4 linked regions of the Alligator mississippiensis genome follow. The protein of the gene in region 4 purifies or fractionates together with the protein of the main gene of each other region. This does not show direct contact. Links are inferred from orthologs where the notes say so. Each region holds a gene or a part of one and is shown on either strand. Other genes may lie near its edges. The genes, in order: CAPZA1, CAPZA2, TOB1 and CNOT1.

The links.
Region 1: the proteins of CNOT1 (region 4) and CAPZA1 purify together in Homo sapiens (affinity purification with mass spectrometry; 3 studies listed by BioGRID and IntAct, with this or other methods). This does not show direct contact. The link is inferred for Alligator mississippiensis from reciprocal best matches to the Homo sapiens genes CNOT1 and CAPZA1.
Region 2: the proteins of CNOT1 (region 4) and CAPZA2 purify together in Homo sapiens (affinity purification with mass spectrometry; 3 studies listed by BioGRID and IntAct, counting the BioPlex papers as one, with this or other methods). This does not show direct contact. The link is inferred for Alligator mississippiensis from reciprocal best matches to the Homo sapiens genes CNOT1 and CAPZA2.
Region 3: the proteins of CNOT1 (region 4) and TOB1 purify together in Homo sapiens (co-immunoprecipitation; 3 studies listed by BioGRID and IntAct, counting the BioPlex papers as one, with this or other methods). This does not show direct contact. The link is inferred for Alligator mississippiensis from reciprocal best matches to the Homo sapiens genes CNOT1 and TOB1.

What each region holds. Positions count from the first base shown.
Region 1 is NC_081837.1:44,706,443-44,714,071, reverse strand, and holds the start of CAPZA1 (F-actin-capping protein subunit alpha-1), read right to left. Parts: upstream 3,014-7,629; 5' UTR 2,960-3,013; coding exon 2,921-2,959; intron 1-2,920. Other genes in the region: ST7L (suppressor of tumorigenicity 7 protein-like), read left to right, coding at 4,950-5,079. UniProt on the Homo sapiens protein: F-actin-capping proteins bind in a Ca(2+)-independent manner to the fast growing ends of actin filaments (barbed end) thereby blocking the exchange of subunits at these ends.
Region 2 is NC_081827.1:49,190,352-49,197,971, forward strand, and holds the start of CAPZA2 (F-actin-capping protein subunit alpha-2), read right to left. Parts: upstream 3,009-7,620; 5' UTR 2,939-3,008; coding exon 2,900-2,938; intron 1-2,899. UniProt on the Homo sapiens protein: F-actin-capping proteins bind in a Ca(2+)-independent manner to the fast growing ends of actin filaments (barbed end) thereby blocking the exchange of subunits at these ends.
Region 3 is NC_081831.1:10,649,454-10,657,010, reverse strand, and holds the start of TOB1 (protein Tob1), read right to left. Parts: upstream 3,008-7,557; 5' UTR 2,897-3,007; intron 458-2,896; 5' UTR 318-457; coding exon 1-317. UniProt on the Homo sapiens protein: Anti-proliferative protein; the function is mediated by association with deadenylase subunits of the CCR4-NOT complex. Mediates CPEB3-accelerated mRNA deadenylation by binding to CPEB3 and recruiting CNOT7 which leads to target mRNA deadenylation and decay.
Region 4 is NC_081833.1:39,165,364-39,173,119, reverse strand, and holds the start of CNOT1 (CCR4-NOT transcription complex subunit 1), read left to right. Parts: upstream 1-4,751; 5' UTR 4,752-4,854; intron 4,855-7,756.

The sequences.
Region 1 (7,629 bases), on a different chromosome or scaffold from region 4:
GCAGATACTGTCCTCTGAGTACAGACAGCTTCACTTAAAAGACACCCAGATCCATTCTGATGGGGAAGTTCCCAACAGGAGAGCTGCCATGACAATAACTAAGCCACATGCATATTTATATAGTGATGTGCAACAAGGAAAATTATATGGCCATTATGTGGATTGTGAAAGGTGCCTTGCTAAAGAAATACCATTATACTTGTAACTTTCTCTCTCCAACTTTCTTTTCTTTTTTAATATATCCAACCTTCTTTCAATCTGCTCTGTGTACAAAAGGTTGCTTCCTAAAAGATCAAGGCTGAGACTCAGATGTTTCAGGGAATTATAAAAGGCCACTCCTACATACGCCCATGTGCCACCACCTTCTGCTACTTTAGCAAGACAGGTGAAATTATATGTGCAAGGCAGGAAGTGCCATGTCCATATCTGAAAACCAGCAGCAATGAGCTAGGGGAACGGGCTATTTTTGTTAAGTATAATTTCCCTACCCTCTTGCTCCTTCCAGGGTATGAGACTTGGTTACCTTAAACCACTAAATGGTTACCTTAAACCACTAAATACAGCTATCATCCAGCTCAATGTGAAGGAAGCCCCCCTCATACACAGCAAAGTAGCCCTGCATACCAAGCTGTCAAACTACTGTCATTCTAGAGTACCTTTGCCTTTGGGTGCTGGCACCCTGGCAGCACGCATGTCTGCAGAACTAAGAAAACAGGACCTGACCTACTTCCTGCCTCATCATTACCATTTCAAGTGCCTCTGCAGGGTTGTGGCAGAAATGCACTTCCTTTTTCTGAAATGGGGAAAGCATCTAGTAGGGAAGCTAACCACTTGCTAGTTTAAGCAGGCAAAATGGCAGCTGCAAACAGTGTTTGTGTAGAAATAGTTCACAACAGCCAGAGCAGTGCTTATTCAAGGTAAGAAACTAATTTAGCCTTTATCCCCTCCAATGGCAACCCGAGTTTGGAGATGCAATAACCTAGGCCTGGTTGTTTTGCTGAGGCCATGTGTTAGAATCCAGGCCCCCCACTCTAACTCAGGCTGAAACCAAACCACAGCAGTGAGGAAACGGGCTACATCACTTCTGTTTTTTTTAATAATTCAAGTGTCCCCCCCCCCCCCGCACTACTGACTCGTAATGAAATCTAGGGCGTTTCAGCCCAAAGACCAGTTTCAATGACAGATCCTTTTGTGCATTCCAAGTCATTATTTTGAAGAGGATTTTGCTTCTGCTGTAAAATAACCCACTACTGGTATCTATTTTATGCCACAGCGACCAAATTCTGTCCGTTCTACTTCATTATCAACATTTTATATTGTAGTCTTCATTAAAAAAAGTAGGTAATCATGTTTCAAAACAATCTGGTTAAATCATACCACTATATCCCACTACTGACTTAATTCTGCATTAATGAAGTGAACAGGTGCTGGACTAGAGGTTGCTGTCTGCCTACATTTAAGTCACTGATTATCAGTGACTCAGAAACATCACTGGAAGAGATAGTTACGGACCTTCAGAGGTAAACTTGCATGCAGCGAAACGCAGAGTTGGGGCCTAGGTATGCTAGGCAAACCTACCGAATCAGCTGTTAAGCTAGGTTTAAAAAAAGAACGGCCCGATGAGGAAACGGAGTGAAAGCAGAAGACTGCGGCTGCTTCTTTCTGCTGGCTTGGCAAAATCAAATCCACGCAACACAAGACCTGAAAGCATCTCTGACATTTACTTCTATTAGTTGCCAGTCTTCTCATCTGTAATATTGCCTGTACAGTAAAGCCACTGAGGAACAGCAGAGCAAACCATCCTTTCCTTGTCTAGTGACGCTAATGAGTTTAGAAAGAATCGTGACTTAAAAAGCCTCATTTAAGACGCAACCCCTCCTCCCCCAAAAGCTATTTTTATTTTACCAGTAGAAGTAATGCTCGATTATTTATTTAAAACAGAGATTTCTTCCCCCTATCTGTTTGCGTGAGACAGACAACCCTCTAGGGCTACTCGAGCGTTGATGTTTCTCCTGTGCAACCACTTGTTCCTCCCATTGACGAAAACAATCCCAGGGCGTTTTTAAAATAAACGAACGAAGGACTAAACAAATACATACAACTCAGGGCCCTGGTAAGAGCGACAGGAAACAAACCAAATAATCGGACAAGGTGAGGGCTGAAAGGGACCTCAAGGGGCTCGACGCGGGACCATCGGGAGCACCCTCCGGCGAGCTGAAGGGCTTTGAGCTGGTTTGAAAAGGGGCGAGATTTCAACCCATCTTTCATTGCGGCAGCAAGCGGGGGAGCCTCGCACCCGACTGCAGAGCTGGGACCAGGCCAGACGCTGCATTTCACATCTGAAATGCAGGAGGGGCTCTTTGGCTTGCCAACGGTTCGGCCGGGATATCCAGGAGAGCTGGAAGCGAGGCCGAAACAGGCTAGAGGCCTCCCCTTGCGTCGCTCGCTTGCCTTTCGCGTCAGTGGGACTGTGGCAGTGTGTGATCCATCCAGCCAGGGAGCCGTGCACCAAGCCCAGGTGCGGCTGGCGGGGTCTTTGCTCGGCTGGGGACGAAGAAACAAGCTTGCAGACCAAGAAAAGTGCTCGCCTCTTGCGTTGGGTTTGGGGGGACGTCCCCAGCATGAAGCCAGAGACCCCGTCCGCCGCACCTGGGCAGGGGCTGGTGTTTGTAGCGCGCTGCTTGCTGAAATGAAAGACCAGTGGTGTTGACAACGGGTCAAACCTAGTCTCGGGGCCGCTTCTAGCGCTGCCTGAGGCTGCTCGTGCTCCCGGCCGAGGCACTGGATTGATTCCTTCGTTGGTTTTATATCTATTTTTTGGGGAGCTGGTGCCACAGGAGCGGAGAGGGGCCCGGCCCCGCGACAAGCCCCCGCCACTAGCGATGCGGGCGCAAGAGGGAAACCCCCGAGACCGCCCTACCTTCTCCTCATCCGACACCCGATCCTCCAAGTCCGCCATCTTGACTCCACGGCCGCCGCCGCGCCGAGCACGCCGGGAACCGCAGCGTTGCCGGAACCGGATACTCTCCCCACCTTGGTGAAGCTGCCCTCGCCATCTTGGGAGTGGGCAGCTGTGTGGGGGAAGGGCATGTGAGGCGCCATTTTGGTGGAGGGCATTGCTGAGGAGCAAGGAAGCCGCCGCCGCCATTTTGGGAGTGGGCAGCTGTATGTGTGGGGGAAGTGGAATGTGAGGCGCCATCTTGGTGAAGGGCATTGCTGAGGCGCGAGGAAGCCGCCCCCGCCATCTTGGGGGTGGGCAGCTGAGGGGAGCTAAGTGTGCTTGTATGGCTCCGAAGTAGTAGCCCATGTAAACGCGCTGCCCCCGCCCGCATGGAACCAGACGCAGCCTGGCTGCCCTATTGCTAGCCTCTCTCTTGGGAGAAGGACAAGGCGGCAGTTATTCCTTCACCAACCGTGCCATGAATGTAACGTGCAGCGAGGGCCGGACCTGCCAGGCGGGGCCCAGGGGCGCCTCTCAGGCCGGCCAGTGCCCTCTGCAGAGTGGGCAAAGCGACAGCCCCAGGCACTGTCGGGCGCAGCCGTGACTGGGCTCTGCTCCCGACCCGGGCAGGGGGACGGCAGCAAACCCACGGGGCCACGCGCCCCCCCCGAGCGGTGCAGCACAGGCCCAGGCCCTGCCCAGGGTGGGTGCCGCCGGCCCAGCGCCGCTTGCTCGTGGCGCTTGCGACCGCTGCGGGTGCTGAGGACAGGCCGAGGGGAATGGGCGTGTTCAGACTGCAGAAGGGAAGACTGAGGGGACTAGATAGCAGGAGGATGGAGCTGCCCTGGCCTCGGTGGGGACGGACGACCGCACAAGGAGCAACGGGCTCACGTTGCAGCAAGGGAGGTTGAGGTTGGATATTAGGGAAAACTCCCTCGCTCCGAGGTGGTGAAGCACGGGACAGGCCCCCCAGAGCGGTGGTGAGTCTCCATCCCTGGAGGGGTTTACCACCCGGGTAGACACGGCTTTGTGTGGGACGACGTAGCTGGGGCCGGCTCTGCCTGCAGCAGGGGTGGGACTGCGTGCGACTCCCAAGGAGAAGGATCCAACCCTCATTTTTGTGTGATGATGTGACTGCTCTCCATGGGGCAGACGGCAGCACGCGGGGCCACGGGCTCCGGCTGCAGCGGGGGAAGCTGAGCTTAGACATAAGGAACCACGTCCCCAGCAGGAGGGCCGTAAAGGTCCCCAGGCAGGGGGTAAATCTCCACCCTTGCAGGTGTTGAAAACCGGGGTGGACGCAGCTTTGTCTGGGGTGATGTAGCTGGGGCTGGTCCTGCTTGGCTCAGGGGTGGGACTCCCCTGGGGCAGGATGCAACCCTCCCTTTTGTGCAGTGCTGCATCACAGGGGCAATGGGCTCCAGCTGCAGCAGGGGAAGCTGAGCTGGGAGATGAGGAACCAGTTTCTCAGCAGGAGGGTTGTAAAGCTCCCCTTGGGGGTGTTTAAAACAGGGGTGGACGCAGTTTTGCCTAAGATGAAGTCGCTGGGGCTGGTCCTGCTTGGAGCAGGGGTTACACTAAGTGCGCCTCTCAAGGGGAAGGGTGTATCCCTCCCTTTTGTGCAGTGCTGCAGCACAGGGGCAATGGGCTCCAGCTGCAGCAGGGGAAGCTGAGCTGGGAGATGAGGAGGGTAGTAAAGCCCCCAGAGAGGGGGTGACTCCCCATGCCTGGAGGTGTTTGGACGGGGTGGGGACAGCTTGCTCTGGGATGAAGCAGCTGGGGCGGGGGCTGCTGGGGGCAGGGTGCAGCCCGCACGTGTGTGCAGGGAGAGGAGTGCTGCCCGGGGGCTCGTGCCGGCGCGGTGCGAGGCGGCCACGTGCAGCCGGCGGGGCTCGCGCTGATTGCGGCGCTGCCTATGGAGGCGCTGGCCGGGCTGCGGCTGGCTCCGGCTGCCGTGCCCCCGCCCTCTCCCTCTCTCTCTCCCTCTCCCAGGGTTCCCGGCTGGGCCATGGCGGAGAGCGGCGGTGTCGGCGGCGGGGAGGCGCGGTGTCGGCGGCGGCTGCGGCGGGGGGCGGCGGGGCTGGCGCTGCTGGCCGCCCCCGCGCTGCTCTACGCGCTGCGGGACAGGCTGGCGGCCGGTGAGGGCTGTGGGCCCCCAGGAGGGGGGGAGCGGGGCAGGGCCCCGACGCCTCCCAGAGAGCTGGCATGGGGGCACCCGCGTCCCCCTCCTCCCCGCATGGGTGCCGTGCACTCGCAGGGGCGGCCCGCGCAAAGGACCGGGGTTCGCTCTTCATGCAGGGCCGAGACGAGGTTTTGGGGACAGGCCCCTCGAATGCCAGGCTTGGCAGCGTTCACGGGGTCCTGCTTTGTCCCGTGCTGGTTTCCAAAAACACGTACGAAATATCACGATGAGCGTGCCAGGCAGGTGGTTCCCTTGGATCTTAGGAGAGGCTGGGGCAGCCCCCCAAAAAGAGGGATTTGCTGCGTTTCCAGGGTGGCCATCCTAAAGGACATTCTGGTTTTCTTCTGCTCTGTTGATACAAAACCCGACACCTCTGAGCCCTTTATTTTAAGAGAAAAATAGAGGGCGTAACGGTTTCATATCTATAGACGACAGCCACACAGTTCTCTCTGATAGTCACCCCACGTGTTTCTGAAACCACACGTCTCACCGTTCAAAGGGCCTCCTGCGGTTACGGGGTGGCACGTGTGTATGGACTTACTGCCGGCTGCTTTCGAGCTCACCCCACCGATCCTGCACGTATTGGGGGGGCAGATCTGTCTCTGCCGCGTGTCCATATTGCGCGTGGAACTGGAAACGTCCCCCAGGCCTGCTTTCGGGTTTATTTGAGCCACGGTAGATTGTCTTTGTGAATCTGTACATAACGTCATTGGCCACAACCACGTACAGGCTGAGTGTGCTGGCTTCCCAGCACCCGTGGTTTCAGCTTGGCTTGGGGTGTCACCTGGTACTGGGGGTTATTGGAAAAACTAAATGCTGTACGGCACCCCACCACCATGCTCCTAGTCTGCTTTATTGCCTGCAGACACGTTTAAAATTGCCTCGATAGGTTGTTTCCGAAGCATGTAGGAGTCTCTGAGGTGTAGGAAGCACGACACCCATCCCGATTAGCGTTTAGAACGGTGCAGCGAAAAAGGGACGATGCAGGAGTTTTCTAGGTGAAGGTCTAGCAAAGGACAAGGGTTTCGTGACTTTGCAGTAGTCACAAGTGTCATTAAAAATTGAAGGGACCCTGGATGGCCGTGCTTGTGGCTGAGCTCGTGAGGCTTCAGGTTTATTGTCATCAGCTGCCTCTCCTTCCCCTCTTTAATGGGACAGGGGTTCATTAATTAGCACCTGGGCCTGCTGCTTAGCGTTCCCTGTTCTGCCTCCTCTCAGAGAGGTCACTTCCACAGTAGACAACGCGGTTGGGTTTTTAGCCCAGAGGACAGTGTCTCTTCAGAGGTGTGAAAGAGCTGTTATTTTTGCAGGACATCTTTTGCCACTATGAACTCTGATGCAGGTGTGTGACTTTCCAGTGAAAGTCAAATAAGCTCCTCCCAGGACTGTTGCCTCTTTATTTGAGATGCTGGAGTTTGTGCTGCTGCAGTTCTGCCTGTTTGCAACGCAGCAGACAATTTCTCTTTTCAGGGACTTGTTTCCTTGCTTTTAAAACATTAGCTGATGGTGAGGAACTGATGCTTCAGCGTTTTGATCAGAAGCTGAATACAAGAGTTGATTGGAGCTGGAAGAGCTATGCTGTTACTATAACAGCACCAGTGTCTAGAATAGCATTTTTTTTCTTAGTCTTTTTCCAACCTTATCTCTTTTATCAACAATTGAGACTTGTCTCTTTTCCTTCAGGTGTATTTCTCCCCTTGTTTTTTTTGAAGGTAAAGTGACCCTTCTTGCCAATCCCAGCTGTTGGCTATTTAAATCAGATTTTCTCAAGGCTATTTTCAACCTGCAGCTTCAAATGCAGCCTGACGGTAGTTGTTGAGTCCCAGTGCTAAACAGGTGGTGGGTGTGACACAGGTCTCCCCTTAGTGGAGCTGTCTGCCTCTAGCTTTCTCCCAGTTGCAGCTTCCCTGCAGGACTGGATTAGGGTTTAGAAAAGTATGTTTGCTCCTGAGTAGCAGTCTGAAAGACAGCATAGAAGCACAGAGGACCGCTCTTCTGTTGCACTGGAAATGGGTAAATAAAGGCAGGGGGTGTAAATCAGTGACTGCACTATGTGACCTAAACACATTCACTTTTGGCATGCTCTTTGTTGCAGTGGTTTTTGGATGTGGGATCCAGTTGCCCTTACTGTTAGTTCCCAGTGGCTGATGGCGTGCTGGACAAGACCATGTTCCTTTTTTCATTAGCAAACTTGTTGAGACTTAGTAGAAACTTGCATCAGAGTAGTACTGACTGTTTTGGAATTAAATGTGTGTGGTCTTTCTAAAGGCCATTTCTCATTCAGTAACTGTGCAGCTTCTGAAAGCCTTCCGTGCCATAGCTGGAGTGCTAGACTTCTAACTTCTAAAGATTTCTTGAAGTGTTGTAATTATTGGACCTCACCAGGCTGTGAAACGACAGCTGAAATGCTAGCTGTATTTTGGGGCAGCGTCCTCTGTTAGCTATCTTAGTTCTTGTCTTTCAGCTTGCTGTGCTCTTCTATCTGTGAAGTCACCAAAGTCCTTTC
Region 2 (7,620 bases), on a different chromosome or scaffold from region 4:
CTGCTTCCTTCCCTGAATTTCAGTTCTCTCATTAGGATTATGTCTATAGTTCTGCCAACACTGCCTCTTCCATTAGACCACCAGAATCACCAGCACGACTACTACAGGCCCTGCATCAGTGTAGGAGAGTGCCACTGGTACCATCTATTTCTGGCCAATGTTAGTACATTTCTCCTTTCTATACCACCCCATGGCCCCGTCTTAAGAGGGCAAAAAGGGTGTGTTTTTGAACTGTGTTATCTCTATGATTAAAGGCACTGATGTGGTCAAGGCCATTACTATGGAAAACAGAGAAAGAAAAACTCTTGTGCTACATCTTCCCACTTCATTAGGGGGGATAATGCATAACATGAGGGAAGACGTAGTTCAGAAAGGGATACTGGCCTATGGGAAAAAATGATGGCATTAGTTCTCCAAATTATAACTCTCAGAAGTATTACTCTGCAGTGGGGAAACCACTTAGAGTAATTGTTTATTTTTAAAAGTGTAGCAGACAGTAGCTTTTCTGCAAATATGGGTATTTTTCTTCATGTGTATAACTGCTGGTAAATTAAGAATTATTGTTACAAAAATCACAGCTCTATCAATGATTTACTCAGCATGCTAAACTAGTTTGAAGCTGTGCTGGGCCATATTTTAGCTTGAAAAAAGAATGCAAATTCTGACATCATTAAGAAGTGCAACAGAGACATAAGACGTTCTAGAAGAAATTTAGTTAAAGAGCTCCACACATAAGAGAACCTGCTTCTGAATGATTTATACAATGATAATTAAGGGGAGTGCGTCAAACAGTAGAAAAGTTCTACTTGAACAAGTTACCGATTTAAAAATATACTCCCAACTTTATCAAGGGGAAAAAACCCTCATATATCCTGGTGTAAGGGGCAAATGTGGATTTAGTTAAATCCTCCCTAAACACAGTCATCCAAACATGATAATATAGCCGTAGATGAAAGCTTCACAAGTGGCACACATTTCCTCATCAAAGATAGCACACCTTGGACACTTGCTTTTGAAAGCATAAGTGCAGTTCAATCAGAAAATATTTGATTATACCTCAAACACCTTTGCACTTTGATATGCCCTGGATGGTAGATGCATCTCCACTGCAAAGGCTGAGAACATCTGAGTTACAGAACTTCAGTCACATCAGCCTGTCTTGTATAAAGGACTTACAAATGTCTTATTTCCCAATATATATGCTGCCAGTGTTGGGTAAAATCCAGCTACACAAGAAAATCCAAATTTTTTTGCAGGATTGAACTGGATAAAAGAATCAATGGCTCCGTTCTTGATGGAAGAGAAGGGGAAAAGAAAACAATTCTAATGCTCCTACTTCTTTTTAGCACAGGTGGGGGGAGAAGGGGGGAAGATAGGAAGTAGGGAGGCTCTAAGCTTTTAGCACTTCAAATGGGAAGGTGTGTGTGGAAAAAGCACCACAAAGCAACTTGAACTGTAACTGGGACAAGTACACATGCCCCATGGAAAAAAAAAAAAGTACTGGGAAATGGAAGGCTTCCTGCAGGTCATTAAGCTCCACGGTGCCCCCAGACCTACAATGGTGCCCAGTGTTCACTTGCAGCACTGAGGTGTAGATGTTGATTTTACAAGCCTGGAGAATCAAGAGTTTGTTTGGGAAAAGAAAAAAACAGAATGTTTTTGGAAAAAAGCAAGCCCAGAACTTCATCAGATTGGTGACAAGGGAAAGAGAAACTCAGAGAAACACCATTATGTGGCATGAGCTGGAAAAGGGGGCAGAAGTGATAGGTTGGAGTCAGTGCAAAGCAGCAGCAATGTGTATTAATAAGTATAGTGGCAAATACTTTTTAGCAGCGTAAATGCTGAGGCTTATTTTTTATTTAGTTTACCCTTTGACATACTAACTAAATACCTTCTACCAGGGCAAACTAACACTTTACAGGCTCTTCCCAGGTCACTGTGGGTGCTCCAACAGAGGCAAGAGTCTTAGGGTAGGGGTGATATTTTTTGTTAGACCAACTTAATAGTTGGAAAAAAAATTATTTGCAAGCTTTTGGGGCACAAACACCCTTCTTCAGGCATTGGGAGACTGCTGCTATGAGCTCTCAACCAACAACCAAGTACTGGAAGCATTTTTCGTTCAGCTCCCTGATCTGCAACTCAGTGCTGCAAACATGGAGGGACTCCCTGGCTACAGTGAACATGAAGGCATGTTAACCCCCACCCTCATGTCAAAGATATCTGAAGCTTCATTTATTCTCTCTCACATCTGAATCATCTCCACAGGTTCAGCAGCCCCCTAAACTGACCTTTCCATCCAAAACAAAAAAAGGGAGAAACCCAGAGGAGAAGAATTAGGTGAAGTGCATCCCCGCGCTGCACACACACCAGCACCACCACCACCACACCCTGGTCCCGGAGCATTAGCGGTGAGCAGAGGGAGGAAACGGCGGCACGGCCGGGCTCTGCAGCCGCCCCTCCTCCCAGGGGCATCTCCGGGGCAACTCTCGCGCCACAGCAGCCCTGTGGGCAAGGGCGGCGGCACCCAGAGCCGGGCACCGAGCTCCCTTCCTAGCGTGTTGCTTCCCTTCGCCCTGCCCACACGGCCCCGGGCCGCGCCCCTTCACCTGCCCGGGGCCGCTCCTTCACCCAGCACCGGGGGAGGGCCCCCTGGCGACTCCGGGGGCGGGGCGGGGCGGCAGAGACCCGGAAGGGCGAGGCTGAGCGCCCAAGGCCCCCTCCCCCGCGGCGGCTCCTATTTTCGGCGCTCGGACCGTACAAGGAGCGGCGCGGAGAGGTCCCCGGGCCGGGGCCGCCGCTCGCCGCCCCGCGCCCGCAGGCCCCGGTCCGGCCCCGCCAACTGCCAGGCGCCGTCGCGGGCTGGGGTTGCAGCGGGGGGGGCCGGGCGGGGCCGCCTCACCTTCTCCTCGTCCGACAGCTGCTCGTCCAGGTCCGCCATCTTCCCGTCCGGCAGCGACCGCCGGGCGCCTCCCTCTGCGCGGCAGGGCGGAGCCGCGCGCTCCCTGCGCCGCGGGGCGGGGCCGTCGCCGGCCAATGGAGGGCGCGGGAAGGCGCATGCGCACTGCGGGGCGGGAAGGCGCATGCGCACCGCGGGGCTTGGGGGGCGGGGCGGGATGGAGCCGGGCGGCCTCAGCGCCCCTCCCCCCGGCGGGGGTGGCCTGTGACCGGTTGCGCCTGCGCGGGCGCCGCGGGGTGTTGGCCTTTCGCGGCCGCGGACGGGGTGACCTGGAGCGTGCCGGAAATAGATACGTCTCCAGGCGACTGCTTGAGGGGCCAGGGATAGATCGGGCATTCTTTCAAATTGAAATAAATATTAAATGTTGAATCTAATTTATGCAGGAGTGCAGTGGGTTTTTTCAATGTAATAGTAATGCCTTGCTGAGTACAGGACAGTAGATCAGTCATTAATGTCGTTACATCCTGTGACGAAACCTCCCGGAGTAGATTCACACGGAGCTGGGGACGCTGCCAGGGGCACCTGCTTGCGCCAGGGGGTGCCTGGTTGTGTCTGAGGGAGACCGAGCAAGGACAGGCCCCCGGGCTTGAAAACTGCCATCAGAGCCTCAGAGGTCCTGTTTTAACAAGTGTGGATGGGACAGCCCAGCCTGAGATACCAGACACATTGGAGAGAGACCCGTGGAGGGCAAGGAAAATGGCGAGGGGGCTGGGACACATGACTTGTGAGGAGAGGCTGAGGGAGCTGGGCTTATTTCATCTGGAGAGAAGGTGGCTGAGGAGGGATGTAATAACAGCTTTCAACTACCTGAAGCGGGGTTATAAAGAGGATGGAGCTAGACTGTTGTCAGTGGTGGCAGGTAGCAGAACACAGAGCAACGGGCTCAAGTTGCAGGAAGGGGAGTTTAGGTTAGATATTAGGAAAAAACTCTCGGGGCGGTAGTAAAGCACTGAAACAGGTTGCCCAGAGAGGTTCCGAACTGTCCATCCTTGGAGGTTGTTCAGACCCAGCTAGACAAAGCCTTGGCTGGGAGGATCTGGTTGGGGATGGTCCTGCTTTGAGCAGGGGTTAGACTAGCACTAGATGACCTGAGGCCCTTTCCAACCCTCGCTTTGTATGATCCTGCTACCCAAGACTTGCAGCCTCTGGCTGTTTTCCTTCATCATCACAGCAACAACAGCACCTCAACACTCCCTAGGACACTGCTGTCATTTAGCAGTGCACAAATGTGCATGAGACCTCAAAGACATACACAAAACTAGAGCTCTTGGTTCCAAGAATTGGTTCAAGAATTCTTGGAACCAAGAGTTCTAGTTTTTTGTATGTCTTTTTGTCTCAGACCAACACGGCTACCAAGTACACCCCTGAAACATGAGGTTCAAGTGGTTTTTTGAGGGATTGCAAGGGCATGCAATCATTGTCAGGGACTGGGCTTGATGGCCCATGAGTCCCTTTCCACTCCTGTGTTCCTGAACATTGATGATGTGTAAGGGGTGCATGCAGGTGCATGTGCACCCCACTGAGAGGCCACCACCGATGCTGCAGGCGGTGCCTGCGAGTGGCCACCACTTGCTACCCCTGTCCCCCCCCCTCCACTGCCAGTGGCATTTGCGGACAGTTGCTGATTGCCACTGGCTCTCACCATTCCCCCTTTGCCACCGACACCACCATGGCCTCCTGTAGATGGTCCCTGCTCGGCCCACCCTCACCACCAACATCACCACGGCTGCCTGTGGACGGTCCCTGCTCACTGCTGTTGCATCCCTGCCACCGCGGCTGCCACCTGCGGGCGGTCGCCATGTCCCTCCCAGCCACAGGAGGCACAAGATGTTCATGTTCCTGAATATTTTTTGTCCTTAACATGTGACCGTGTCACTGTAAATAGTATTTTCTTCGCTGCCTCTCCTGGCACACAAGTGTCTCATTCAAATTCTACTTCAGAGTCCAGGCTGCTGCATGCTCACCTTTAGAAGCACCATTGCATGAATAACACTATTCTGAGTAAGTCCGCACACGTGAGGGAGGATACAATTTAAGCTCATCTGAAGATGGAAAATTGATCCAATATTAAATAGATATTGAAACGTAAGCACTTGTGTGTCAGGGTTGACAGAAGTTTTACTAAGAGATTAGAGTATGGATTTGTATTCAATGGTTTGCATAGGAATGGTCTCAGGCAGGGGATTGGACTAGATGTGACCTGTGGAGGTCTCTTCTAGCCCAACTTTCCTTTGATTAGTATTCTATGATTCACACTCTTTGGATCAGTCTGAATTACTGTACATTTTGGCCACATTTGCAGCAATCTATCAGACCTCACACCAGGGTTAAATTTACTCTATTAATATATAATTATCATACATCTATCAACACAAAGAGAGGCATACATAGAGAGAGAGGCTAGAAGGAGAGTGGTTGGCTTTCCTACTAAACAATCGTTAGCCTGTCTTGCACAAATGAGAAGTGCATGGCACACCAAGGATGGAATCAGAATGCCCTTTAGCAATGGGTGGACACACAACTAACAAAGCCTTTCCCAGGCTGGGATAAGCATCTCCTCTTTACTTTTTTTCCCCCAGAAATCCCAATTGAACTTTTCCCTGCACTGTTATCAGCAAGAATGAGCTCCTCATACTTTCAGACAGATTGAACTCAGGTTTTGGTAATTGCAGGAATGCCATGAAGCAAATGTTAGTAGCTCTGGGTTATACACAAATAACTGAAACATATTGGGCTTCACTTACTCCTGTTGTTGGGTCAGCAATAATCTATAGCTCCTACTCGAGTGTCAGAATATATTGCAAGCGGCATCAGTCTGGTTTGTAGGGGGCAAAAGGGCTGTAGTGTGAGGCTGAGTGCTACAGACCAGTCAGCATTTTCAGAATTAAACATTTTGATTTTGATGTTTCCATGTGCAATTCTGTGCAATTCTTACCTTCTTCATTTCAGTAGTAAAATTAGTCATTTAAACATGCTCACTGAAAATTCATGTGGGCAGACACGCAGTTAAAAATGCCCAGATTTTCAGACACCCACTCAGCAATATGTCTAAGGCATGCAAGCACATACTGCTGCTTATGGGAGAGAATGGAGTTTCTGGGGTCCTCCTTGCCTTCCCATGTCCCTGTGACAAGGTATTTACCAGAACTCACAGACTCATTGGGATGTGACATGGCTGCTCTGTGAACACTTCTGCTATAATCTAGAACGTGCAACCTCTGGGCTATCAACCATGCACCTTACTGCCACACCACCTTGAAAATGGCTTCTTCAAGTTTCAAGGAGTAGAATTTCCTTGGGAGTTTGTGGGAGGGAGTTTGGAGGCTTTCCTTCATACAGCATGCGTCTACATGTGCGCTGGATTGCACAGTTGTTTCTGCACAGTTTAGTACTTGCTTGAGCAAGTACTAAATGACTGCGTAGTAACCAATGTTACTGCGCAATCCTGACACTGCACGGGTCATTTCTGACACTACTGTGCTGTAGCAACAAGCTACTGCACAGTAGCTCATCATTACAACAACATGGTGTCTCATGTAGACCCACCCATAGAGGTACAGTTTCACCTCAGCAGCAAGGATGCTGGCAGTGAATAAGTGGTCAGGTAAGTAGCATGAGGAAGATTTTGTCTTGTGGAACATTACAGTGAGAGAGGAATATTGAGGTGCTTAGTATGGAAAAAGGGGGGATTGCATTATTCTGATGTCTTCCACCTCAGTAATGGGGCTACCAATAACTTGAGTGATAAACTAAGTAGACTAGCTGGCAGAGCTTTAAACTAACACTAAACAGGAATGAAACCATTCAAATGTGTAAATAAGCCCCAAAGTATCACACAGGAAATCTGAGCGCACATGAATAGGTAAGGAACATGTATTTTATCTATGTATTAATACTAGGAACTTAGGTTATAAGAGGAGTTGGAGATGTTCAAATGTGAAAAGAAATATGAAATGGTTTTCATATTTTTACTAAAATGTGGTGAGGTGGATCATATGATTGGAATGCTAAAGTTGATGCGTACTCCTTCTGCTACAAGGATGGGAATTGACAGGTTTTATATTAGACTCCCATGTGGTTTATAGAATCATAGACAATTCAGAATCACAGGGCATATCTACACATGTAAGTAATGCAAAGCAATAAACTATGGAGTTTATTGCCATTTGAACATTCACCCAGGACCACAGCATGTTGAACTGGGTTGGAACAGCCCTGTCTGGCAGGGGATCCAAGGGATTAGCCTGCCAGCCCAGGACTGCTGCTCCCCTGTGCTCAGCCTACTGTGGAAGGGCTGGCTGGGGCACAAAGCTGCTTCAGTGCAGAGCTAGCTGGCAGGCAGCTCCCATGCTGAAGCACCCTCATGCCCCAGCCAGCAAGTGTAGAGTCTTTCCACTGCTGTGGAGTTTTTTTCTAGTACTATCCTGCTGCAGAGTAAATTAGTTTACTCCAGCCTATATGGGAGCATGCAGTGGCGATGTGTAGGGGATGCACAGGGGTGCATGTGCACCCCCTGAGAGCGCTGGTGCACCCCCTGACCAGCCACACTCACCACTTAGATGAAGGGCAGGGGGCAGGCAGGAGTTCCAGTGCCCACCCTGCAAGTGCCAGCTGGGGAGTGACACTCCCAGAAGAGGCCGCAGTGATTGATCGGCCACCTCGTG
Region 3 (7,557 bases), on a different chromosome or scaffold from region 4:
TTTTCACCGATTTGGTATGAAACCTCAAATGGGTCAATCCAAACACTAAGATCCTGAGGCAAGTTGCCACGAACATCATCAATGTCCAAGCCACTTTCTTTGGATGCTTGTTCTATGACTGGGTCCACTTTCTCCCCTATATGTATACATCTAAACCCTGATCCTTTGTATGGCTTTTCTGGATACCAGTGCCCTTCATACTTCTTCTTAAGAAGTCTTTCAAGCTCTTCACCAAAAATGTTGACACGCCGCCTGGGAAGCTTATTGTACAAATACGAGATAATAAAATTGAGTGCTACTTGGATTTCAAGCTGCATAGCTGCTATGCCACAAAGTTATAAGTCTGTTGCAAAACCCAAAGAAAACGAGTGTTCAAGATGCCACAGGGAAACACAATTTCATCCGAAGTGCTGATTCTAGTTGAGTATTATCCTTCACACCTTGAGTGTTCTTGTTCCTTTAAGAAAAAACAAAAGCAAACATATCCAAATAAGGCGAGTGTCATTTCAAGCTCCAAGGCCTATTCTTTTAGCCTCTGGTGGTACCAGAAGAGATTATTTCTCAACTACAGACATTTCCAACATATTGCTTTTCAACAGATCCGTTACAGCCACCAAAGTCAAATACGTTCTGCCTAAATTCCAAACAATATTGTGGGGGACGCATCGGGAGGTGTTTATGGGTACGGCATGGGGCACTTCAAAATGATTTGAGCTTGCAGCTCAGCCCCCCCCAAGTTATTCGCAAAGCAGCAAATATGTTTCCTAGGACATCATGCCAGTGCCAGGCCTGTCAGGGGTTCAATTACTAGCCCCTATTCTGGGTGATTTATAGAACTCAGCTGCAAAATTTAGCACCAACCTGTTAATTTAGCATAAAAGGTCGTAGCCTGAGTGTCATTTCTCATTTTAAAGTATGCAAACATATCACTTGGGCTTTAAAGTGGCAGAGACATATAGATAATTAGATATACAGATCTAGATATTTATTTATATATCCGTACCTATATAGATATCTATACACCCACACACACACATATATATATGTGCATGTACATAAATAATAGGTCTTATTAATATATTAATATAGGTATAAAATACCTATTGGCTAATGTAGACGCTTCCCAGCACTTATGTAATTTCAGGGTGTCACATTTATCTTTCCAAATCAAAGCCAGGCGTCTGCAGCCACTGTGCATTTGGGGAGAATTATGCAAACCGAAAAGAAAATGTCTACCACACGTATACCAGAAATGTTTCCCCTTCCTTCTGGAACAATCACGTTTTAATCCAAACGAGGCATGCCCAATATAGACAGGAGTGTTTTCTGTTTTAACCCTGGTGAGCAATCACGGTTAAATGAGCCGTTCCACTGTAATGGTGGAACATTTTCCCCGTGTTTTATAACATGCTGCTTCAGCGCACAGATCTCGAGTCTAGATCCTACCCACTAGCGAAAGGCAGGTTTTAAAACCCCCGTAAACCTATCTGGGCAGGGAAGGGGGGAGGGGGGGGGCAAAGAGGGGGAGGGGGTCAAGCCTTCCGCCCCTCTGCCCAATTGACAGTATGTATAAAATGGAGTCATGGAGCCCACAAAGTTAACCCTGACACGCCTCGCGACAGAAAACCCTGCAATGCCTTCACCCGATTTTTTTTGCAATTGCAAGGGAGATGGGTAGAAAGAGATGTTTTACTGCGTTTTGATTCAGGGGAAACTGGGTGCCCTGCAAAAACACCCACCCCCAAAGAAACCCCCCCGCATTTCCAGATCTCAGGGCACAGCCCCCTTGCAGCGCTCACCCCTCTCCAAAGAAAAGCCCCAAATTTCCAAAGCCCCCTTGCAGAGCCCCAAAGAAACCCCCCAAATTTCCAAAGCCCCCTTGCAGAGCCCCAAAGAAACCCCCCAAATTTCCAAAGCCCCCTTGCAGAGCCCCAAAGAAACCCCCCAAATTTCCAAAGCCCCCTTTGCAGAGCCCCCCCCCGCTCTAAATTTGCAAATCCCAAGGCAAAGCCCCCTTGCAGAGCCCACCCCGGCTGGACAAAGTTTGCAGCCCCAAAGCTGCCACCTCTCCAGGTTTGCTGGGGCTGCGGGAGGGGGAGCAGGGAGGGAAGATCAAGGGCAAACCGGGGGTGCTCCTTGCACCCCCTTTTCCTTCCGGCAGGGGCAAAAAACAATAATAAATAAATTAAAAAAACCATTAACCCCCCCCCATAAAAAATAATTTAAAACCATGCAGACTACTTTGAAACCATAAAAATTAAATTTTAAAAGCCATTAAAAAAAATCATGAAGAATCAATTTTAGAAAGCATAAAGAATATATTTTTTAATCATAAAAATGTTTAGAAAGCATTAAAACAATGTTAAAAAAATAATAAAAAAAATTTTTTTTTATAAAGCATAAAGACCATTAAAAAAAAAAAAACGCACATTAAAAATACCATTAAAAAAAAAATCCTTCACTATCATTAAAACTGATGATGTAACTTAACCCCTTATAAAAACGATTTAAAAGAATGGAAATGCCATTTAAAAAAACCTTATCAAACCAAAAAATAATGGAAAATGCCATTTAAAAACCTTATAAAAGCAATGACTCAATGAAATTCAAGCAGAAAGAGAAAACATCCTTCTCAAAAAGCATGAAAATATCATTTAAAAAAAACAAACCAAACAAAACAAAAAATTAGAAATCATTAAAAGATCATTTTTAAATGATTAAAAAAAAAAAAAAAAAGAACAAAACCCAATTTTACAGAAATGATCAAGCCACCATTCAACGCCCCGCCCCGCCCCCCGGCGCCCCCTCAGCGGGGAGTTACATAAGAGGCAGTTGGGGGTCGCGGGCGGGCGGGCGGGTGGACGGGGGCACCTCGCTCCCTCCCTCCCTCACTCACCGGGGCCGTGCGCAGTCCCTGTGCTCAGCACCGCGCCGCCATGGCCGCTGCCCGCTGCGCGCCGCCCGCCGCCGGCCCGGGGCTGCACGGCTGTGTCCGCCCGGGCTCGCCCGCCGCAGCTGCGCTCCAGGCCCCGCCGCCGCGCGATATATCGCCTCCCTTGCCCCGCCCCCAGCACGGGGACGCGCGTCACGCGCCCCGCCCCTCGGTGGCGTCAGGCGCTGACGTCAAAGGGCCCGTCACCGCGCAGAGACTACATCTCCCAGGTGCCCCGGGAACGCTCGCCCCGCCCCCGGCTGCTCAAGGGCAAAGAGGAGCCGCCCCGCCCCGCCCCGCCCCGCCCCTCTGTAGCGCAGGGAGGGCGAGGCAGGCTCCCGCTGCGGGCAGGGCAGGGGCAGCGGTGACAGCGAGCCACGTAGAGCAGGGCTGAGATAGGAGCAGGAGGAGGCAGAAGCCGGCTCCCTAGAGCCATGTGCAAGAGGGACGGAGCTGGACACTGCACTGTGCACCGAGGGGGCACCCGCACCCGCAGCAGATTTAGGGGGAGACTGGAATGACATGAGCCTGTGTTGCCCCCCCGCCCCTTCCTTTTTTCTTTTTTTTTTTTTTTTTGCAGCTAAAAATATTACCCACAGGTAGCAACGATGACCGATTGGCTACGTCCCCTCCTTAGTAACCATCCGATTGGTCATTCGGTATCTAAGAGGACTACGTCAAGCTCCAGTTTGGGGGGGAAAAAAAGTTAAAGGGGGGGTGGGAGAAAGAGAGACAGAAAAGAGCCGTGAATGGAGCAGCCGTCTCCTCCCTTCCCGGCTCAGCAGCGTTGGAGGGGCGCAGCGTGGAAAACCCCCAGCCGCAGTGAGCCAGGGAAGCCGCACAGCGCTCGTTAAGGAAGTTCAACAGCAACTAACCTCAGAGGAGAGGCTTGCCCTAGAGAGGACAGAAGTGGGGGCCAAGTTGCTTGTAAAGAGTTTAGTACGACGGGCCCCGGATCCTCATTGGAGTCTTTGGGCGCCGTCCCTGATACAAGCAATACGATAAGAAGACTGACTTGTTCAAACCAATGTGGAAAAGGACTCGTGTTAGGTATCCAGGTGGTAGCCGTATCGGTCTAGAGGAAAAAGCAATCCGGGCTCGTGGACAGAAGGAATATCTCTCATTAGATCAACAAGATTTTTGCAAAGAATGTTGTGTTTTTTTTTTGCAAAAATCTTGTTGGTGTCATAAAAGAGATCCCCTCTGTCCACGAGCCCTGATTGCTAAATGTGAGAGACGCACGGTTTCAGACTAGGCACTAACACAAGGAAAAATACCCCCTAAAAAAGTCAGTCGCGTGTAAGGGAGAATGCGGCATCACAAACTTTACGCCTCGGAGTAGTCAGGGCGGGTTCTCTCGTTCCCGTATAAATCAGGAGTGCCGTCACTTAATTCAGGAGATTCACGTCAGATTAAAATCAGCATAGGCAAGTAAAACCACAGCATGCAGTTTATTAAAATGTTAATCCCTTGTTTCGCTTTTTTACTGTCACTTGCGTGTATTACTGTTAGGCTCTGTTTCACTTTTAAGCTCGAGTTTTATGGCTATCTCAAACATCACAAGAAGTGAGGAGCAGGATCAAGCTTTAGAAAACAAATTTATAAGCAAAAACTTTTTCTTTTCTTCTTTGCGTTTGTATAACAATAAAGCACCTTGGCACAAAGCTGCATGGGCCCCAGGAGAGATTTGGAAATACCAGTCGGAGGAGACACCAGGATGCTTAACCCTTTGGCAGCTAAAATACACAGGTTATCATGCAAGCAGTCTAGAAATAATCTAGGATTTACAGGAGAAAAGGATTTTCCACTAATGACAATTTGTTGCATATGGAAACTTACACTCTTTATATGTAACGATACCAAAGTGTGCTGCATTATTTTACTAAAAAGTATTGGTCTTGATTTTATTAGGACTCTAGCATTGCTAACACCACTGATTTAAAATCATGATTCAGATACAAAAAAAAGGGAAAAAGGAGATTCGGGGGAGCAGGATCCAGACCTGGTCAGAAAGGAATGTAGTTTTGGGGGAGATTGGCAATTATTTCACATTAGCTGTTAAAGGCAGTTTTTAAAATAATGACAAAGCATTTTTAGGTGAAAAGACAAGACTATGGTTAAGTTAAAGCCTTAGAAGTCTACTTGGTGCAAAAAACCCCAACTGAATGAATTGTTGTTAGAACAAGATTGCCAGGTGTCATTCCCTCGTGTCACCTTGCTAAGGGTCCTGGAGTCAGAGGAGATGGACGTAGGATCTCTCTGTCCTCTTTTGAAGTGAGAAAATGCTAGACAGCTCCATAGATCAAGCACCAAAAATGGCTGTTTTCAGGTCCAGTGATGAAGACAAAGGATTTGGGAGGTTGGAATCAGAATTAAAGCTATTAATGCTGTCCCGAACTCTGATTTCATTTTTTTTCCTTCAACTTATTGGACTTAGGAAATAGCGTTAAAATTCTGAAAAATTGCAATGCTTTTTCAAGGAAACTTCTTCCTTTAAATGACTCTAAATATAAAAAAAAAAAAAAAGATTAAATACACAAGGCAAATACATTTGGAATAAAGGCAGTTGTTGGATCCTTAACTCTTTTCTGTCTCTAGGGTGGGAGATGAACATTTGTATAATTTACTTAAAGGAAACCGTTCATGTAGTAAAGCTGATTATTTTCTACAGGAAAAAAATCAAACACAATGCTTTGGGATAGGCAGTCCAAGAACGGGCCATAATTCTAGCCCCAACCTATATGATGGGTCATCAGCTACAGCAAGAGTGAAATACTCTTCTTAAAATCCAAAATAAGTCTTGACATTGTTCATCATTACTCAGATAAGAGAGTTCTGAATGTTGTTCATTGTGATTATATCGTCTACATCTAGTACAAAACGAGGTGACCGCAATGCCTTAAAGATACTTTACTAGAACCTCAAAATATACAGGAGCTAGTCCAGGTTTGCAGAGCGAAAACCTCAGTGGAGTCCAGACTCAGTTTTAGATGCACCTGGACTGGAACTGTGTGTACAAAACCTTTTCTATATTTTGATTAATTTGCAACAGCAAGAAAAATAAAACAACTTCATCAATAACCCCATTATACCTAATGAGCTGGGGAAATCTTTAAAAATGTAATCAATACAACATGATGAGCCCAGCAGTAATGCTTCACCCCTATGGCCATGATTATCCAAAAGGAAGATTGCTAACCTTCAGAGAAAAAAAACAGACACAACTTCTGCTCTCTAGTAAAGCCCAGCTCACCCTCCCTCCTAGCAAACCAATGCAAAACAAGCTAGTTCAAACCATAGTGGGGAGGAAGGAAAGAGAGACAAAGGATTCAGGCAAGGTCTTTTTGCCCAGGCAGCAGTTCCCTCTGTAAACCAAATACTCTGTGAAGGATGCCTCCTTGGCCAGCAGCAGAAGCTGCGCCAATGGACTCGAATGCTAAATGTGTGAGTGTCTATACTACGCCTTCAACTAAAGAACCAGCCTCTGTTAATTAGGGTTGCAAAAAATTGACCTCCCCTGTGGATTAGTCAGACAGTGACACATGCTACGTGCTGTCCAACTGGCTATAGCTGCATGGGGAGGGAGGTGCTGCCAAAAGGCAAGACCTAAGCTATGCAACAATGAAGTCTGAGCCTTTATGTAATATACTTACCAAAAGCAGCAGTAAAGGAAGCTGAAGGAACCCCAGTGAAATAATATGGTATCTCACAAAGCCAAGTCAATACACAACTAGGCCCAATTTTCCATGGCCTTCTATCTTGCGTAGTCAATCTTTTGTGAAAAGTTGGGGCAACATGCTAACAATCAGAATGGTAACAATTTACACCCACTCTGTACACAGAGATGTATTTACAGTGCACAAGGAAGGGGAGAATCGGCCACACAACATACATCGACCTTAATCCTGAATGTGAATTTAAAATCCAGGCTGCAATGAGCACATTTTCAATAGCACGGCTTCGCTGGACAAACTTTGGTGAGGTTTTTGGGGTTTTTTTGCTCGTGTTTTGTCAATAAAAGACAAGATTGTTGAGATGTACTAACATCACTTGCGTTGTTCAGGAAAACCTCTCTATTCAGGACTACCTTTAAACATGTCCTTAACTTAAAATCAGTGGGACTTAAGGCAAATGTATGGCTTTGCCTGAATGGGGTTGGCTACATTCCTGCTTTTCACCGTTCCAGCATGGTTATTTTTTTGCATGTCACTCAATCTCCTGCTATATAGGCTGGTCAGATATAGGCCCCGGTCCTGCAGTCAGATTGCTGCAGGGGGACCTCTCTTCTGATATGAAGCCCCGTTGGCTCTAAGAGGGCACAGGGCTTCATCCACATGCACTCATTTGCAAGACACGGGCACTTGCTGCTTTCAAGTCATTTATTCATTTTCTGATCCTCCTGCCCTAGCCCAATGACATTTGCCTTTGCATAATACAGCAAAGGAATGCATCTGTTCAGAATATGCATAGCCACCTATTGGTTTTTCCCCAAACCCATCTGAAATGGTGCCTAAAATAATTGGTAAGACACTTTTCAACATAAAATATTAATTTTAAAATGTAATATTAAATGCTCAGAAATACACGCATTCCAAATTTAAATTTAAAAGATTAAAGTTAGAGGA
Region 4 (7,756 bases):
TGGAAGCTTATCAAACATCTCTCCCAGGTATACAGTTGGTCCAATAGAAGAGATTAAAAAAACCCTTTCCTTAGAATCAGTAAGGCCAAATTTTTCAGAAGTTCTGTGCCACTGGCTAGAGGGTCAAAGAAGATTTGAAGGCAAAGTGGATTCTCCAAGCTCACTGGTTGCCCCCAAGTGTTCCAAACAAATATTGCAAGTGTGGCTGCAGCCAAGGAACACTAGGCAAGAAGCCTGCCTAGTAGGTAAAGCAAGGAATAGAGAGAGGTGAGATGTGGATCTCTGAGCAAGACTGGTTTGGGAAATGAGGAATCCAGTGAAACAACTGCATCTACTTGGTTTCAAACAGTTCCTTTAAAACAGCAGTAGGCAACATTTTTTCAACAGTGGGTCAGAATGACCCAGCTCAGGTCCAAGGCAGCTGTGCACTAAGACCCAGTAGCCACTGCTGCTGCTTTCCCTGCTGTTTGGGCCTAGTACATCACAAGTGAAGCTTCCAGCAGCCCAACTACTGTGCCACAGTGCAGGTAAAGCCCTGTGGGCCATAGGTTGCCAACTCCTGATTTCAATCATTATACTAAAGGCAGAAGAAGGTTTATTGGATGCTCAACTATTCTCCAACTGGTCTTACAACAACCAGGTTGTCCCTTCTGCTTTTTAGGAAAGCTTTGCAGATCAAGCAGTGCAAAATGGAGCATCAGTTATGTCAGGCGATTTATATTATCGGGCTACGTTGGCGCCCTCCACTTCCAAGTCAACCTCCTCTCCATAGGGTGACTATCACTTCAAAAGGGGAGGGTGGGACACATGCCTACCTTCCTCCTCCCTCTGCTAGCACTACTAGACCAGAGCCAAGTGGAGCAGGGGGAGGATGCAGACTGCCTGCTGAGGGCTCCAGGCTCCCTGCCCTGCTACCTTTCCCTCAGGAGCCCCACACTGGACAAGTGCCTCCTGCCTGCCCGGCAGCAGCAGGGGACATAACTCCATGCTGCTGCTGCCACCCCCACTGCTGCTGGGCAGGCAAGGGGCGCATCCCCATGACTAGCGCAGTGTACCTGGGGGCAGGGCATCAGGTTGGGGAGCCCCGAACCCACAGTGAGCAGCCTGCATCCACCCCCACCCCATGCACGAGTCTGGGGGGTATGTGCCCCCCACCCATGTCTTTCAGCTCAACAATTTCATGTAGCAATTAAAAATGTAAAAGCCAATAGGAAATTCCCCCTTTCCCATCCTCAAATAGCTCTTACAGATTCATAGACATTAGGGCTGGAAGGCACCTTGAAGATCATGAAGTCCAGCCCTCTGCCCCAGGAGCAGGAAGTCAGCTAGGATCAAAGGATCCCAGCATGATAAGCATCCAAACGTTTCTTGAATGAGTCCAGAGTAGGTGCCTGCACCACTTCTGGAGGGAGTCTATTCCAGGCCTTGGGGGCTCGGACAGTAAAGAAGTTTTTCCTTGTCCAGCCTAAAACAGTCATGGAGGAGTTTATTGGTCCTTGCTATCTTTTGGGGTGCTCTGGTGAACAGACGTTCCCCCAGATCCTGATGCACATCCCTTACGTATTTATAGGCAACCACAAGATCACCCCTGAGCCTGCACTTTTCTAGGATGAAGAGTCTCATGGCTCTCAGCCTCTTATCATAAGGCCTATTCTCTTGCCCTCTGATCATGCGCGTGGCTCTCTTCTGGACTCTCTCAAGCTTCTTGGCATCCTTCTTGAATGCTGGAGCCCAGAATTGGATGCAGTACTCCAGCTGCAGCCTTGCCAAGGCCAAGTAGATTCATAGATTCATAGATTGTAGAGTCGGAAGGGACCACAATGGATCATCGTGTCCGACTCCCTGCCCCTGGCAGGAAAGAGGACTGAGGTCAGATGACCCCAGCCAGGTGACTATCTAGCCTCTTCTTGAAGACCTCCAAGCTAGGTGATAGCACCACCTCTCTTGGAAGCCCATTCCAGATCCTGGCCACCCTTTCTATGAAAAATGTCTTCCTAATATCTAACCTAAATCCACTCTCAACTAGTTTACACCCATTATTCCTAGTCACTCCCTGGGGCGCCTTAGTAAACAGCGCTTCCCCTATTCCCCGTTGACCTCCCCTAATAAATTTATAGGCGGCCACAAGATCTCCCCTCAGCCATCTCTTGTGAAGGCTGAAGAGATTCAGCTCTCTCAACCTCCCCCCGTACTGTCTATCACGAAGGTCACTAACCATGCGAGTGGCCCTCCTCTGGACCCTCTCCAGATTCCCCATGTCCCTCTTGAAGTGCGGCACCCAAAACTGGACACAGTACTCCAACTGCGGCCTGACCAGTGCCACATAGAGGGGAGCATCACCTCCTTTGTTCTATTAGTCATGCACGTGCTAATGCACGACAAGGTGCGACTGGCCTTGTTGATGGCCTCGTTACACTGTACAGCGGGAGGATGACATCCTGAGATTTACTTGAGAAGCATCTATGGATGCAAGCCAGAGTTTTATTTGCTTTACCAGCTGCAACATCACATTGGTGGCTCATGCTCATCTGTGGTCAGTCATGACTCCCAAGTCTCTTTCAGCTGTGGTGCTAGCAAGCGTAGCACTGCTGAGCCTATAAGTGTACTGCGGGTTTTTTTTCCTTGCCCCGAGGTGAAGTGCCTTGCATTTTTCGGTATTGAACATCCTCAGGTTTATATCCTCCCACTTACTAAGCTTATCCAAGTCAGCCTGGATCACTAGCTGGTCCTCAGGTGTGGACACTATGCCCCAAAGTTTAGTGTCATCAGTGAACTTGGCCAGTGTGCTTCTGACACCAATGTCCACATCGTTGATAACAATGTTAGAGAACCAGTCCAAGGACAGAGCCTTGGGGGACACCACTGGTCATGGAGCACCATAATGATTCACTTCCATCAACTACTATTCTCTGGGTCCCAGACATCTGACTGTGGTGTAGCCGAGACCGCAATAGTCCAATTTTTCTATGAGATCATGGGACACCAGATCAAACGCTTTTTTAAAGTCCAGATATATGACATCAATCTCTTCTCCCTTGTCCAGGTGATATGTCACTTGGTCATAGAAAGAGATGAGATTGGTCAGGTAAGACCTACCCATGACAAACCCATGCTGGCTGTCCCTCAGGCTGTTGCCATCAGCCAGCTTATCAAGGGTCTCTTGTTAAACCTTAGATGTTTGAACAATTTTTTCTATGCCATGAGCACACTGAGCAAGGAAATCATGAAGGAACATTCCCTCCCAACACAATAGTTTGTCAAGTGTTAGCCTGGTGCCACCGTACCACCTGCTTTACTTCACTCCCTCATTGAATTTAATAGTACTGTCACCCTCAAGGCCTACATCAGAGCCCTGATTCATGCTGCCATGTTCCTACCTGTCCCTATGTTATTTTGTTACAGGGCTGATTCCAAATACATACTGCATTTAGATTGAGCACCTCACCTTTTGCCCTCCAGGCATTTAAAAATGGAAAGAAAAGGGAGCTGTATGGGAAACCACAGAATCCCAGAGAAGCAGGGCTGGAAGGGAGCTCCAGAGGTCACCTAGTCCAACCTCCTGCCTGAGGCAGGATCATCTCTCTCCTGTTAAGGGGGCTGAGTTAGGTTTACACCACCTGCTTTGTTGGCTGCAGGATATCTTAAATGCCCTGCTGCTTTTCAGGTGTACTTTCAGAGTGGCATTTTCCAGCCCAAAGCAATGGGTAGGATGTCTGGCTCACTCAGCTCCACACCTGGCAGATCCGACACTGATGCCTGGGTAGGCCTGTTGCCACCTTTCAGAAACCGGGTGATGAACGGGGCTGGCATAATCCTGAAAGTCATTTGGTTCAAGCCCCTGCCCGAGCCAGCCCCGCGTTAGTCGCTCTGCTCACGTCCAGGGACGGAACAGAGAGCAAGGCAGCAGCACACGGAGGACCTGGGCTGGCGAGCTGGGCCGCTTTGCTGCCACGTGGGACGTCGAGGGGGCGTCTCCAAACCTCCAACCTGGGCCGCTGGCAGCGCAGCCCGCACAAGGCAGCCGGGCGAGCCGAGGTCACGTGATGGAAAAAGGCGGGGGAGATTGTACCACGGGGTGTGGGGAGACGCGCATGCGCCATGCCACTGTGAGACATCTGAGTGGGACTAATGGGGCAGTGAGAGGACGACGGGTTGTACCACTGCACAACGCTGGAGGGCGGACTGTACCACTGTAATCCAGGAAGAGGCAGGCCATGTGCACAGGCGTCGGACTGTACCACTGGGCAGCAGGGAAGGGTCTGAGTGGAGCGTGAGTCGGTGCTGCCCCTGGCGGGGGGGAGGGAGCTGACAGCCCCTTCCAGCCCCTGCTGTCACCGACGCCCAGCTCAGCCAAACTCCGCTATCATTAGCCGGTACTGCGCACTCAGTTTCCTACTCCGCCGGCCAACCAGCCTCGTTTACGCAGGCGCTAAGGGTTAAAGTCCTTCCTTGCTGAGAGCTGTTTCGTGATTGGCTAGAGGGACGGAAGGCGTGGTGAACCTTCCCAGCCAATCCGAGCCCGCCGCTAACTCCGGGGTGGGGAGGGGGAGGAAATGTGTGTTGGACTTCCTTCCCCCCCCCCCACTTAAGCAGCGCCCTTCTCTGATTGGACGGATTCCGGGCGCGAGGGCGCTAGCTCTGTGCGGCGATTGGGCGGGCTCGGCGTACACAGGCGGAGGGGCCCCGCCCGCTGCGTGCCGCGAGGGGACGGGGGAGGGGAAAGGCCGCGACGTGAGCGCGCGACCCCGCCGCCATTTTGTATTGAGCCAGCGGAGGCGAGCGGCGGACACAGGCAGCGCGAGAGGCTGAGCAGAGCCCGCTCCAGCCCCGGCCCCGCCCGCCCCCGCGCCTCAGGTGAGCGGCCGGCCGCGGAGGCAGGGGCCGCGGGGCGGCACAGGTCGGGGGCTGCAGGCCTAGTGTAGTAACACCTAGGCGGGACCCGGCGGGAGCCGATCGCGGGCGGGCGGGGCCGGGCCGGGCCGGGCCGGGCGCGTCCCGTGGAGGGAGCGTGGCGTAGGGGCCGGCGCAGAGCTTCCCGCAGGGGGAGCCCCAGGCTCAGGCCCTGAGGCCCGGCAGTTTCCGGGGTCAGCAGCGTGCGAGACTGCGCAGGCTGGTCTCTTCGCTGCTGTCTGGGCGGGCTCTGGCGGGGAGGGGAGTGAGTCCAGGGCCGTCCCGCCGCCTGCAGGCGCCAGGGAGAGTCCCGGAGCGGCTCGGGCTCCTTTCCCCCGCTGTCCTGCCGCGCGCGCGGCCTGCGTGCGGGCCGGGGGCCCGAGAGTGCCGAGCGGGTTGAATCCGGGCCCCGATGAGTGACCCCTGGCGGAGAGCCTCGAGGCAGCGCGACGTGTGCCCGCTTCTCCACGGATCCACTCGTGGCATCGAAGTATGCCGGACTGGCGCTAGTTGGCCATTTGGTTCAAAGGTCCCGGTTTTCTGCTTGTGTTTTCTTGTTTAAAAAAACAAACCTGAAAAGCAATTTTGAATAGGGGTTTTCTGTACACTTTAAGTATATGCATCATTTTCTTGTGGTAAGCTTTAGCTTTGTGGAGCGTGGAGGGGGAAGCGTTCAGTATACAAAACAGCAGGTCACTGGGGAAAAAATACATTGGGCAAAACTTGCTCTAAGTAGTCAAACAAATCTAGTTCATTCTTAATTGACACCTGAACCCTTAGCATTTCATTTTCCTTTTTCCTCTTTAAGCCCTTTCCTGAAGACTAAACTTTTGTGGATCACAAGTTACTTTTCCCTTTAAAAGATCTTAGCATTCTGGACATGTTAACTTTGACTCCTGTGCAAGCAAATTGTGGGCTATTACATGGTAACTTATAGTCCAGAGTTTAGAAGACAGGGTTGAAGCCATATCTCAGCCTGTTGAAAAAACAAATAAATACCTAAACAGTGGATTTGGTTGTTAAACGAGACTAATCTGAAGATGTGGCCCTAGTTATCCAGAAAACCAGAAATGGCAGCACCATGCACCTGGACTTCTAAATTTGTCACCCAGTTGAAAATGTGGAAAGAAGTTGCGTAATTCCAAGACTTGCTTATTTCGGAACTTCGTAGGATCTTCTTAAATGTAGTTTTATTTTATATGTGTATTTATAATTCCAGGCTCTTCTTTCTCTAGGCCTTGGCATAAAGCAGGGACTATTAACCAACAGCTTGTCTAAGGTTTGGTTGTGTTAATAACTACAGTAGGAATGAGCAGATCTTAAACTTATTTAACAGGTACAAAAGCTGATGCTTGTGTGACATAAAACATGCACTTTAAAATGTAGAAGTGTCAAGTTTTGTCTCTTTAGACACTATCTAGTCTGAGCTCTGCTCTTAAGGAGTATGGTAGGAAGCACGACAACTCAACAACAGCTGTCAGTATCTTTTGATTCCTGTTTCCAAGGTAACTACAGTATCTTGGATTGATGAAACTTGAAGCAAAATTAGTCCAGATGAAGTAATTAGCTTGTGAACAGGAAGTCAACTTCGTTACATAGAAATATGCTTTTCATCCTCCCTCCTGGACATTTATTGGGTGCTGTCCTCAACTTCTGTGTGCATACGCTTCTACAACTGACCCCCTTTCATTGCCAGAGCACTTGTTTTGATCTCCCTGTATCTTTCTTGGGAGGGAGACTTGCTTCATTCTTTCAGAGAGTAATTGATTTAAAATTTCTCATCTGGGAATGAAATGCTAACATGGCTATTCTTATGTTTCAGGCATAAGAATAGGTAGTGTTAAATAAAGCAGAGTAAGATTACCTTGCTGCTATTGAGGGGAAAAATGTAGTAAAACCTTGTGATGTAATGACTAGTTATCAGTAAACCCATAATGCTGGGAAAACCAGAATGGAGAAATGTAGTTTTACCTCAGTGCTCGGGTTTGTTTCTATATGCAGTTAACATTGAAGGTTATATTGTTGTTATGGAGGTTTTCCTTTAAGCCATGTTATAACATTTATTGCCAACACTTGGAAAAAACACTAGAGCTAAAAAAATAGAAGTTCTCTTTCCTGGCCTCTTAAAGATGGGTTTATGATTCCCTTACTGACTATGGTAATCGGAAGAAACTTTAAAACTTTTGTTTGACTGAAATGAAAACAGGTAGTGGATTTATCCTGGAATTCTTTATTGTGTCACATTTTCAAAAACTTGAAACTACCAAAAAGTTTCTTTGCCATGATGTATTCCAAGAAAAGCAGCTAGAGAATGAGGCTGACTAGCTGTGATTGACTTCTAACAAAAAATGCAAGGTAGTTGTGTTTAGAGAGAGCTTGTGGCTGAAATGTAACCCCCCCACCCTGCACTTACATGTTGACTGCTGAAACTGTACTTGTTAAATAGCTTGGGGGGCGGGGGGGGATGGGACATAACAGATTTTTAGCACTTATTTTAAGTGAGTGCTCTCATGCAAGTTGAGTTAGCTCAATTGTTTATCTGTATAGTTGTAATGTAAAATAAATCTGTCATTCTAGAAAATCCAGATAATTTGGTTCCGGTTAACTGAGATTGTTGTGACTTGCTAACCTGTAAACAATATTTGGTTCAAATCCAAGATGCCAGTAAAATTAATCAATAACTTAGGTCAAGTGATGACAGTTCAGGTATGCAGTTTTGCTTACCCATAAATTTTAAAAGCAATAATAGTTTTACAGTGTAACTTTCATGCAGGTATGTGTCAGAGCTTTGTTTAAAGTATTCTAATGTGAATGTTAGCTAAAATGTGTGAAGTAGTCTCCTACACATGAAAGGAAGTCAAGTTTC